Drosophila melanogaster: one gene and its partner. Changing the gene in region 1 together with any one later gene gives a genetic interaction. Each region holds a gene or a part of one and is shown on either strand. Other genes may lie near its edges.

Region 1 (4,881 bases):
CTATGACCACCAAAATCTTGTGCACATAGGGCCGCACCAAATCGTCCAGTTTGTATAAAACACGATCAATTACCTTCACTAATAAATGACGCTCTTGGTCCTCCAATGTGGGCGACATAAGCAACGGAAGAATCTGGTTAAACAAAGGTCCTGCTCCGAATTCCCTTGCTTTGTCCGTAATCTGCCTCAAGGCCGACTTTCTCATTGGTGGCGAGCCGTTCTTGATGGTCAGCAGTAGCTTCATTATCTTGCGCTCCTTGAGTTCCTCAGGCGACAGAGAGTCTTCGTTCACGTCTACAAGTAGCTTGTCAAAATATTGCGCATCCTCTGGTTTCATGAAGGGGAGATTTTGCCCCTTTGGTTGGTTATCCATGAATTTGGCATTCTTGTCCTCCACTTGGATGAAGAAACCGGCTGGGGTGCCAGCAATTGGCGTAGGCGTGGCCATCAGCTTTCTGCCGGGAGTGCGCAGTGGAACATAGCCAGCTGGTGGCGGTAGAATTTTGTAACCAGGCGGAAAGATTTGGTCCAACTCTTCGTCTGTGTATGGCCTGTTTCTCTCGTCGATTTCCTTTTCCCAGCGATAGGCTTGCAATTGCTCTGGTGTCATCGCAGCCAGAGCTCCCGCAGAGGGCGTGGCCATGGCCATTGCCTTGACTCCGATAGGAGTACTGCCTCCGGGCGTCAGCATGGGAGTAGCATGTCCCGGAGTCACATGTGGCGTCATACTGGGAGTCATATTTGGAGTCATGGCACTCGCATTTGTAGGAGTAATAGCCGGCGTAGCATTCGAGGGCGTTTCATCCCAACGAGAGCGACGTTTGGAGGCCCCGGGGGTGGACTCGATTGATATGCTCTCCGCGCCGCCTCCACTGCCTGTGCGATCTGGCTTTGGAGTCTCGGCCCATCCGCTGTGTCCGGGAGTCTCACGCTCTGTTTTCGGGGTTTCGTCCCAGCGATTTCGACGGGCCGACTTCTCGTGTCCAGGAGTCTCGTGTCCTGGGGTCACAGCGTGGGCCGGAGTGGCGTCCCAGATGCGGGTGCCCAGTCCCGGCGTCGCTCCTGGCGTCTCGCTGCCCTTGTGACCCGGAGTCTCATCCCAACGGTGGTCTCCAGGAGTTTTCTACGGAGTAAATTAATATTTTATTATATCATCCATTATACTTCCCAGAATACTCACATCTTCCCAAGTTGGGGTAGCTGCGCTGCTTGGCGTGGCCATCTTGGCCGGGATGAAGCTGTCGCTGACCGTCTGGTCCCATCTGCCTCGCTTTCTGCCGCCGTCCTTTGGTGCAGGCAGGTCCCCATTTGAAGTTGACGACGATGTAACGGTCTTTACCAGAGTTCCCTCCTTGGTTTTCTCCAGGATTCTTCGGCGGAGCTCAGATTCCTCGCCCTTCAGCATCTGCTCCCGCATGATGTCCGTGTAGGTGCGAGAGCCCACATCTGGGGTTTTCCCGCCATCGGCAAAGGGATCCGCTCGCTCTGGGGAAATGATGATGTGACGTCTCTTCTGCCTGTACTCATCCTCCCGATCGGCAATCGTTGGACGCCTGCGGTCTGCCATGGGATCCACATCCTCCTTGCCCTGGGTCACGTCCTTTAGCACGGAGGCCGGCGCCGTGTACGTGGTGCGTTTCTGGGGCACGGGGAAGCCGTCGTCCTCATCCTCATCGACTTCCTCGGCGTCGTTGGCCGCAATGGAGGTGTTGTACCCCTCGTAACGCCCCTTCCCCTTGGCGGCATCATCGTCGTACAAGTCGCTGTCGAAGAATCCTCCGCTGTCCAGCAATCCCACGCCGGCTGCTGCGGCAGTGGTCTTGGCCAACTCCGTCTTCTTCTCCTGGATCACGCTGATCTGTGCCTCGATATCTGTGAGTAAAAATAGGTAAAGATACTTGATTTTCATAGTAGACCACCAGCCAGAAAAACCGGTCGATCCCCATTTGTGTGTGCGGTTCCTTTTGGTGCGCAGATAGTATATTTACGTTTTGGCAATGGCGGTGGTTTGCCACCGTGAGTGTTTATATCGCTTACCTTCATGTGTTCGCGGAATATTTTCCATTTTTATAAAAACTTTACCAAGAGAAGAGCGTACATGTAAAACCAGTGTTACCAGATGATAATAGCGCCTGGTCTAAGTGTGACCAAATACATATCATATCGTACTAGCAGCTATCGGGAAACATTCGATTTCTTAAATCTTCTCATTCCACCCGATATTGATGATGATATTTTGGACAACTTTTATTACAAAGTTCGATACAAAATATAAATGCATTATTTGTTTATTATTTTTTAAGCAAATAATAATCGATAGCTGGCAGGCCAGCTGAGCCGTCTGCCGATTGCTCATCACTAACGAACAAGTTGCGGCACGTGTTTACTTTTGTTTTGACCGCGAGAATGTTGGCCAAAAAACAGAAAATGCAGGAGACGGACACGGAGCAAGAGGCCACGCCACATACGATACAGGCGCGCCTCGTTTCGGACACGGGCGAGGAAGCGGGCCCGCCAATCGACCTGCCGGCAGGAATCACTACCCAGCAATTGGGTCTGATTTGCAACGCGCTGCTGAAAAACGAGGAAGCCACTCCATATTTGTTTTTCGTGGGCGAGGATGAGATCAAGAAGAGCCTGGAGGACACGTTGGACTTGGCGTCAGTGGACACCGAAAACGTGATCGATATTGTGTATCAGCCACAGGCGGTTTTCAAAGTGCGCCCAGTGACAAGATGCACGAGTTCCATGCCGGGACACGCCGAGGCTGTGGTTTCGCTGAATTTCAGCCCGGATGGTGCTCATCTCGCCAGTGGAAGTGGCGACACCACAGTGCGATTGTGGGATCTTAACACAGAGACACCGCACTTCACCTGCACAGGTCATAAGCAGTGGGTTCTGTGCGTATCCTGGGCTCCGGATGGCAAACGGTTGGCCAGCGGTTGCAAAGCGGGCTCTATAATCATCTGGGACCCGGAGACGGGTCAGCAGAAGGGGCGACCCTTGAGTGGGCACAAGAAACACATCAACTGCCTCGCCTGGGAACCGTATCATCGCGATCCGGAGTGCAGGAAACTTGCTTCCGCCAGTGGAGACGGGGACTGCCGGATTTGGGACGTGAAATTGGGCCAGTGCCTTATGAACATTGCCGGACACACAAATGCTGTGACAGCAGTGAGATGGGGTGGAGCGGGCCTTATTTATACATCCTCCAAAGATCGCACAGTGAAGATGTGGCGAGCAGCTGATGGAATCTTGTGCCGGACGTTCTCTGGCCACGCTCACTGGGTAAACAACATTGCGCTGAGCACCGACTACGTCCTGCGCACTGGTCCATTCCATCCGGTGAAGGATCGCTCCAAGAGCCACCTCAGTTTGAGCAGTAAGAATTCATATGCTCTCTATATATGCTGTATATCCTAAAAGAGATTGTTTTACAGCTGAGGAATTGCAGGAATCTGCCTTGAAGCGCTACCAGGCCGTGTGCCCTGACGAGGTGGAGTCGCTGGTTTCCTGTTCGGATGACAACACCCTCTATCTGTGGCGGAACAACCAGAACAAGTGCGTTGAGCGCATGACAGGGCACCAGAACGTGGTCAACGACGTGAAATATTCGCCGGATGTAAAGCTAATTGCGTCTGCTTCATTTGACAAGTCAGTGCGTCTGTGGCGAGCCAGCGATGGTCAGTACATGGCCACCTTCCGGGGTCATGTGCAGGCTGTTTACACGGTTGCCTGGTCCGCGGACTCCCGCTTGATTGTTTCCGGCAGCAAAGACTCAACTCTAAAAGGTTAGCACGTAGTTTCAGTTTTCTAGCGCTAGCTAATACATATCCTCTTGCTTAGTATGGAGTGTGCAGACGAAGAAACTGGCACAGGAGCTGCCTGGACATGCGGATGAGGTGTTCGGAGTGGACTGGGCGCCCGATGGCTCTAGAGTTGCCTCTGGTGGCAAGGACAAAGTTATAAAGCTGTAAGTTTGAGTAACGAGGTTTTCTATAACAATATACAGACTCTAATTGTATCTTTCAGATGGGCTTATTAACAAATCATTAACTTGTACACGGTAAGAAAATACTTAGGAATAAAGTAAAACGTCCTGAGTAAATGCCTTCGTTCTTTTTGGTGTTCAAAGTACCATCTATATGCTCTGCTGTTGAATGATCCGGGCAGTATGCTTGTAGCGACTCTCAAAAGATTCTTGATTTGAGAAGTACGTTGCGGGAACGGCGGACTCAGACTGCAGTGCCCTTTCAGCGGCCACAAAGCCGCCGGCGATGCACTCGTCCAGAGATCGCCCTCGCAGCAGGGCAGTGATGAAGCCCGCGCAGAAACTATCGCCCGCTCCGGAGACATTCACAATATTGTGAACCATGGGAGCGGGATAGAAGCGAGTGCTGTGTGGCGGCGTGGGCTTACTCACATCGAGGAGCAATCTGGCATCGTTTTCAGCGTCCCCTCGATAGCTGAGTAGCACCCCGTGGTCACTCAGCGTAGCTATGATGCAATTGAAGTGGCTGTCGATTTTTTTGATCAAGGACTTCGCTTGCTGAACCAGTTCCGTTTGTGGCTGTTTGGTTTCTGGATTCCATTTGACAGTTTCGCCCGTTATAGCCTCCGTAATAGTTTTCAACTCCTGCATATTCGGTTTGATCAGGCGTATGTTCTTGGTTAACTCCGGCAGCAGCTTGAACGGTTTACCGGCTATGAACATATCTGTGGGCTCGAAGAAGACTGGAATCTTGTTGATTTGCGCCTGCTGCAGAATGCTGGCCATGGCCTGCTCCGATATGTTGCTGTCCATGATGATGAGAGGAGCTTCTCGGAAGAGTTGGTGGTGCGCTTGCAGGGTCTCGGCTGTAATGCTCTGGTGGATTTCCA
Region 2 (7,184 bases), on another chromosome or scaffold:
AGTGCTCAAGCTGAAAAGAGTTGTATCTATATCCCAATATCTAATGATCACTTGATGATCCATAGATATGAAGCAGGCCCAAAGCCAGAGAAATCTACAACTTTCAGTTGCTCCTCGATCCTTTCACATCGTAGACTTGGCCAAGTGCTGCTAATGCCAAACTAACGACTTGCAACAAGAACAGCTGCGGCCGAATGATTGGCCGCCCTTGGAGGAGGAGCAGTGAAAGCCGCTCTGGGCCACGCTATATATATATTGTCCACTTTTGGACACTGTCCTTGCGCCTGCCTGACGTCAGCACGTAGGCAGTTGAAGAGGCGACATGGCGACAACGACAACACGTCTTCAACTTGTTGCCGCTGCGCCTTAAATGGCCCGGAGCAACTTCACCAGAGCATCGCCAACATCACCAGCATATCCAACATCACCAACACATCACGCACTCGCTGCACTGCACAATGACAAAAAAAAAAAAATGCATCGGATTTTTTGTCTTTTATTAATTTATTTTAAGTGATTCACGGCGGCGTAGACTGAAAACGAAAACCGAAAACTGAAAACAGCTAAACCTTGGAAGTTCCAAAAATGTCAACTGATTGATTTGAATTGCACCGCATTGGTAAGAAACTGGCAACAATGCAACAATGCCATAGAGCCACCTAATTGGAATTTAAGCTTGTGCTGGTAATTAGTTTACAAGCAGCATGGCACAATTGAGTGAATAATATAACATAAGAGGCATAAAGAAAAAAGTCCCAAAAGAAAGAACTCATTCGAACATACATACATAAGTGAAAAAGTCCAAAAAGAAAGATTTCCTTTTAGACATGAGTGAATAAATATCCCAAAAGAAAGACTTAATTTGAACATGAATGAAAGTTACTTTATTTGAACTATATATAAATGTACTGTATTATATATGCGTAATATGCATACATAAATGGTGTGGAATTTGTTGTGGAATATTCGCAATGAACTTTAATAACTAATCAGTGCTAAATACAACTTAGTAAAATCATATCATATCATATATCAAATATGGTGGCGCGGTCAGTAGCCGCTAGCTGTCCGTACGATCTCTACATACTATATGCTATATATGCTATATATTGGCGATGTATACGATAGTTCGTTCGATGCTCGATGATATCAATATGAAAGCAACAATTCATCAAATGTATGCAAGGGATTCGATAAAAAAAATTATTGTTATGTCGTATGGCTATGGGGCTATGTTAAAATATGTTTATGTATGTATGTATATGTATATGTATATGTATATGCGTAATGGAATATCTGGCTGCGTTACAACTATGCTTCCTAAATGCTCCGTTTAATAATGAATAATTCAAATTAAAATCACATCAAATTCGCTGAATGAAAGAGATTAAATGGCCAAGACAAGTGAGACAAGTCTATCGAATTTACCCATCTCCATTTCCTCTCTCAAAATACTATTTTAATCCTATATAAATCCGATATAAAGAAAATTCACATGGATCTGATGAAAGAGACAAATTCGAAACCGAGAGAGATGGAGAGATGGGCAATGGTTATAGCTAGCTATATCAACAATATACATATCCTATAAACGGGAGCGCTACGATTTTGGCACAGCTTGCACTCGAATGGCGTGGCTTGGCTTGGCTTGAATCGAATCAGGAATCAAGAATCAGGATAATGCCTAATACTAGTAGGTGTCTTGGGTCAAGATTCTCTTGGGAACTACAGCTACAACTAACTAACTAACTAACTAGCTAATACATATGATGTACGCCAACTTATTGCGTATGTGCGTACAAATACGAATTGGAAGAGCGGAAAGGAAGCTACAATTGCAATTGTGGTTTGCTGTTGTTTTAGGGTTCGAGCAGCTCGAACGCTATTACAATATATCTATAAAAAAAATATATCATAGTAAACGAGGATTGCACACACACTGAGATTATGTAGAAAGTAACTTAACGACGAATGGAAGAGAATGATCGAGGGGACTTCGGTGGGTGGGTGGTTGGTTGATTGGTTGGTTGGTAGTTCTACTCGGGGACAGGGAACTAATCCTTAATCCGTCACGCCCAGGTGCACCAGCTGTTGCATGGTTCGTTGCAAATAGGTGGGATCCGGAAACATATTGAACTGCGTCTTGTGATCCACACTGTTCCAGATCACCACATCCTCGCGTCCGGTGGTCACCGATCGTCCGATCGAGAAAAGCAGCCGACGATCGAATGCAATCTTGAGGAAGCGCAGCACTTTTCGCCCCAGCGGGCAGTCCGGCAAGTAGCAGATCCGCGGAAATCCCACGGCGAAGAAGGCACGACCCGGATGCGGATGCTCCTCCGTCTGCAGTCCCGATGCAATGCTGCCATGCAAATGAAAAAGAGTGATTATAGTTGATTGCTCAGTGGCCACAGGCACATTCACACTTACTCGTAAACAATCTGTATGGTGTTCTGACCCTCGTGTCCTGGCAGATTCTTGCTGATTATGCTCCACGACATGCTGCCAATGGGCTGATTGCCAACCTTCTCGCCGTAAACGATGCCGCATACAGGGCACTCGATGAAAAGGTTCTAGGGGAATGAAATTTAAATAAACTTTCTCTTTCTAATTGGCATCGCTTTCGCGTGCTCACCTTGTTCATTTCGTTTTGCTGGGCAATTATCATCCCATTGAGGCACTGCAAATGCATGAGATGCTGGCAGCGACTCAGCGAAATGGCCGGATTCTGGGCGGAGTGCACCAGCTCCTCCATGCACATGGGACAGGGCTGGGCATTGGGCCACAGCGGTGGCTCCACCACCTTGACAAAACGCGATATCATATCGCTGGCCGGGTCCACGCCCACAATCGAACCGGCGATTGATTGCTGCTGCTGCTGCTGCGCCTGTTGCTGCTGTTGCATCTGCAGCTGCTGTTGCTGTTGTTGCTGCTGCTGTTGCTGTCGCGGATGCAGTGGTAATGGCGGCGGCACCGGCGCCCTTTCGCCCAGCGACGATGGCGGCAGCGAGGGCACAAAAACTTCATCGCTGCCAAGCGAGCAGTCCAGCAGATCATTGACCGAAATGGCAAAGTTCCTGCTGCGCAGGCTCTCCTTGCTCTCGTGGCTGAGGTAAGTGGACACAGTGTCCACACTGGGTCTCCGCCGATGCGATTTCACACTGTTCGTGTCCGTGTCCGAGGTCCGCGTACGCGATCTCGAGCGATGCGAGCCCATCCGGCTGCTCCTTTGCGACTGCAGCGATCCCTCCGAGCAGCGACTATGATGACTGTTCATCGAGGCAGTCAGCATGTTCTTGGCGTGCGAAAAGTGCGCATGCGACAGATGGTTGGCATGGTGCAGCGAGGCCGATGAGGAGGATGAACTGGCACTGGCCGCCGTCGACATGTTCGATTGGTGCTTAGTGCTGCTGCTGAAGATGTTTAGGTTGTTGAGTATCTGGCGTAGATTGGTGGTGGAGATCTCGCTGTGCTTCTTGGGCGGCTTCCTGGGCGCCGTCTGATGATGGATTTGATGGTGCTGCATCTGATGTTGCTGCTGTTGCTGATGCTGTTGTTGCTGATGCTGGTGATGATGTTGCTGCTGCTGCTGCTGTTGATGCTGGTGCTGATGCTGCTGCTGCTGCACTTGATGGCTGGTGGGCAATGGGTGCTGTTGCCTGGTCATGGGCACTCTGTGCAGGCTCTTGGTGTCTCCCAGTTTGGGTAGAGTGTTGTACTGGCTGCTCACGCTGGCGGAATTCGACTTGAGTTGGTTGGCCTGTTGTGGCGTTAGTTTCACCAAGGGATACGGCGCCTGTTGGGTACGCCGAATGCTGCGCATGGGTCCGCTGGGTTGGCGCAGCTGGGTGAGATTGCAAAAGTTAATGGTGTACGGCAGGCCGATGTGGGTGTTGCACAGGTCCAAGGTTTGTTCGCCCTGCAAGGGAGTAGGAATAAGTTATGTTACAATCTATAATTGATGATATTGATTGATTGATATGCGGTTGCAGTTGGACTTTGTGCAAGAAGAAGAATAAATTTATATAGCCCCTAAAATTTGATCATAATACCATAACTCAGCCAAAACTCCAGCGATTTAAGTGCGAATGATTTTAATAGTCATTATTTTTAAAGCAGAAAGTTTCTGTATTCAAACTTTTACAAAAGTGAAAATTAAATTTTTTTTCAATTTTTTTGTCCCATTTTGAGGTTGCAAAAATGGAAATTTTTGAAAAAAAAATTAATTTGATTTTAGCTAAAAAATTTAAATGCAGATTTATTTGTCTAAGCATCAGAAATTCAAAAAGGTACACTTCTTCGATCTACTACGTTTTTTGGCTGAGATGTGAACTGTGGAATTTGGCTTATATGTACTATTTAAACACCTATGGACACATCACAGACTGGTGCATCCTTAGCCAATTCTTCAGGATCAGTGGTAAACCCACACTCTTTTAAGATTCCCCATATATTCTCCCGATAAAAAAATTCCTGAGCAACTCAAAATTCCAACTAGACTGCCAATGGGAAAACATTCGATTCTGCACGGCACTCACCCTCGCCCAGGCGTCCTCGATGATGCACTGGACGTGCATGTTGTAGGGCCGCCAGTCGTTGTTGCTATCGGCACTGCCGCCCGACCACTCCCACTTGGTGCCCTTGCCCGCCGGCGAGCTGGGTGCGTAGAACATGCGCCGAACACCGATGGTCAGCAGGCCGGAGCCGGCCGTTTCCGCCTCCGATTCCTGGGTCATTGTGCGCACGTTGACGTAGTACTGCTCCAGGCTGGGATCCGCATCGCTCAGCATGACGCGCGTCAGTTTCTTGGCGTGGGCGCGTTCCAAGTGCTGCGACACCGCCGGCGAATAGGGCAGCCACTTGCCGCGCGACTCGAACTCCCACACGCAGACGGCGTGGGCGTGGTTCACGGGCGGCCCACCGGATCCGGCGGTGGACAGGGCCATGGTGGCACAACTGGAGGCGGCGCTACCTCCGCCACCGGGAACAACGGATCCGGATGCCGCACTTCCGGCGCTGCTGGCCATTGCTTGCAGTTGATCCGTTATCCGTGGAGTGAGCCCATTGCCATATCCATGCCCATTTCCATATCCAACTCCTCCTGCGCTCTCTTCACTAGCTCTCACTCACTCACTCTCTCTCTCTCGCTCTCTCTTGCTGTTGCTGTCGCGCTATCTCGCTCGCTCGCGAAGATGGGCACAAAATAAACAAAGAAATTAAAAATGGTGGACCCGCTGCCAGCGTTAGTTATCCCTGATTTTCCCTGGCTTCCATTTTCCCGAAGTTTTCGTTCTGGTTCTTTAGTCACTCGGTTTCGTTTAGGCGCAGCTTAAGAATTCACGTTTGATGGTAAAAACAGTTTTTCTAGCATTTAGCGCAAGCGCAGGCGAGAAATTTTTATTGTTGGACAGCGATTTAATGAGAGACAACAGCGGAAAATGGCTAAATAAGGCCGGATGAAAATACCGCACTGCATCTGCAGCCACCAGTTGGATTCGGTAGTTTCAGGGTTGGCATAACTGGTTGCTAGCTAGATCTAGCTAAATGTTTAATATTTTTTATTTTCTTTTCTTGCACTTGAATATAAACAGATACTATTTTTAGCTTGTTAATTAATCAATTAATATATGTGTAATTGAATTCTATATTGAAATGAAAAAAATAAGAACTTGCAATGATTTTACTTGATATTAATTTCAATATTTTTTATTTACTTTGGCAAGTTTAAGCTACTTTTCTTAAGCAACGCGACCTCCAACACTGGCTGCTTCCAAAGTTTCTTTCTATTTAGTATTTCTTTTCAAGATTTTCGGTAATACAAATCGGTCACTTTTAAGAAATTCATAATTTGAGCATGTCTTTGCTGTAACGATCACATTTGTGGTGTATGTCCTAGATAGGATGGAATGTTAGATATATTATTTTTATTTAAACGAAAGGTATTCTGACCACGATTTGATTCGTTTTCAAGCGCTGGCCTATTAAAAAAGAAGTTACGCTTAAATAACATTGTTTTTTAACTTATCTGATGTACCTTAAAATTTTTAAAACATAAATGGAGCGAGTCTCTGCTAAGAATAAGCATAGCCTCTCACCTCGGTATATCGCTTCTTTTGGCGTTTCGGTGCAAATGTGGCACGGTCAGATCGAATCTACTCGATTTCCAACATTGGAACTGCCACTTCCTTTCTTTTTCGTTCCACGTTTCCGGTGAGTGCATGTGCCTAGCGAGCAGTCCTGAATTTTGTGCTAAAAACCAATATTTTATTTACTTTCAGCGAGTATTTCGATACGTTCGTGGTCGTGCTTATCACAGGTAAAGCTCACAATTCCAGAAATTCACCCAAAAACTACGCGGCCGGCGAAAATGTGTGCAAAACCAAATTTTTTGTATAATTTTTTTTCTGTGGGCTTCCAAAGCCGGATTTAAATGTGCCACTTAAAAGAACAAAGTGTAAACAACACGTGAAGTACGCAGTATACTCCGAAAACCTTTTTTTTTTTTGTAGTGAAATTGCCAAATTCCAACCCATTTGAACAAAAATGTGCGTTGCGGCATGTTTTTGTGCATGTGTTGGTGCAGGTGTATGGAGTGTGTGTGTAGAAGTGTTGTTAAAGAAACCTTAAAACTTCAAAGTTATCAAAATGAAAGTAATATTTCTTCAATTTAATGAAAACGGAGTAGATTTCTTCGGAAAATCTGCGAAAAAACGTGTGTTGTTTATACCCAATTATCACACACACACACACACACACACGCAAGCAACATGGTTTTTTTTTTCTTTCCGTACTTACATTTTTCATGCACGTGTTTTGCTGGTCGCCGAAGTTTTGCGTGTTTTCCCATTAACTTTACCAAGTTTAAAACGTATTAATGTGCTAATTCTTTTTTAGCAACTGCTTATTTCGGTAGCAAACTTTAAAACCGCTTGAAAATGGTTGTCAAGAAGGTGAGTTATCGGCGTAAATTTGCTGTTAACTCGAATTAACCTAATGCGTGTTTTCATTGCGTTTACAGCCCAGGCCAAAGAAGAAGCCAGTGACCAAGAAGGTGGCTCCCGCTCCTCTGGCTGTCAAGAAGCCCGTGGTCAAGAAGGTTGTTAACCAGCTGTTCGAGAAGCGTCCCAAGAACTTCGGAATCGGTAAGTGCACAAAACATATTCTATATATATGAATATTGCAGC

Evidence for each region.
Region 2: of Nle (region 1) and dx, changing one suppresses a phenotype caused by changing the other (phenotypic suppression), as found in Drosophila melanogaster (one study listed by BioGRID).

What each region holds. Positions count from the first base shown.
Region 1 is NT_033779.5:565,590-570,470, reverse strand, and holds Nle (notchless), read left to right. Parts: upstream 1-2,349; 5' UTR 2,350-2,406; coding exon 2,407-3,382; intron 3,383-3,440; coding exon 3,441-3,791; intron 3,792-3,846; coding exon 3,847-3,973; intron 3,974-3,998; exon of another isoform or gene 3,999-4,032; coding exon 4,033-4,045; 3' UTR 4,046-4,105; downstream 4,106-4,881. Other genes in the region: Sf3b1 (splicing factor 3b subunit 1), read right to left, coding at 1-1,123, 1,181-1,872, 2,038-2,065; CG2794 (uncharacterized protein), read right to left, coding at 4,142-4,881. UniProt on the Drosophila melanogaster protein: Plays a role in regulating Notch activity.
Region 2 is NC_004354.4:6,532,256-6,539,439, reverse strand, and holds dx (deltex), read right to left. Parts: upstream 5,442-7,184; 5' UTR 5,028-5,441; coding exon 4,539-5,027; intron 3,920-4,538; coding exon 2,636-3,919; intron 2,574-2,635; coding exon 2,431-2,573; intron 2,363-2,430; coding exon 2,062-2,362; 3' UTR 865-2,061; downstream 1-864. Other genes in the region: RpL7A (ribosomal protein L7A), read left to right, coding at 6,936-6,950, 7,019-7,142.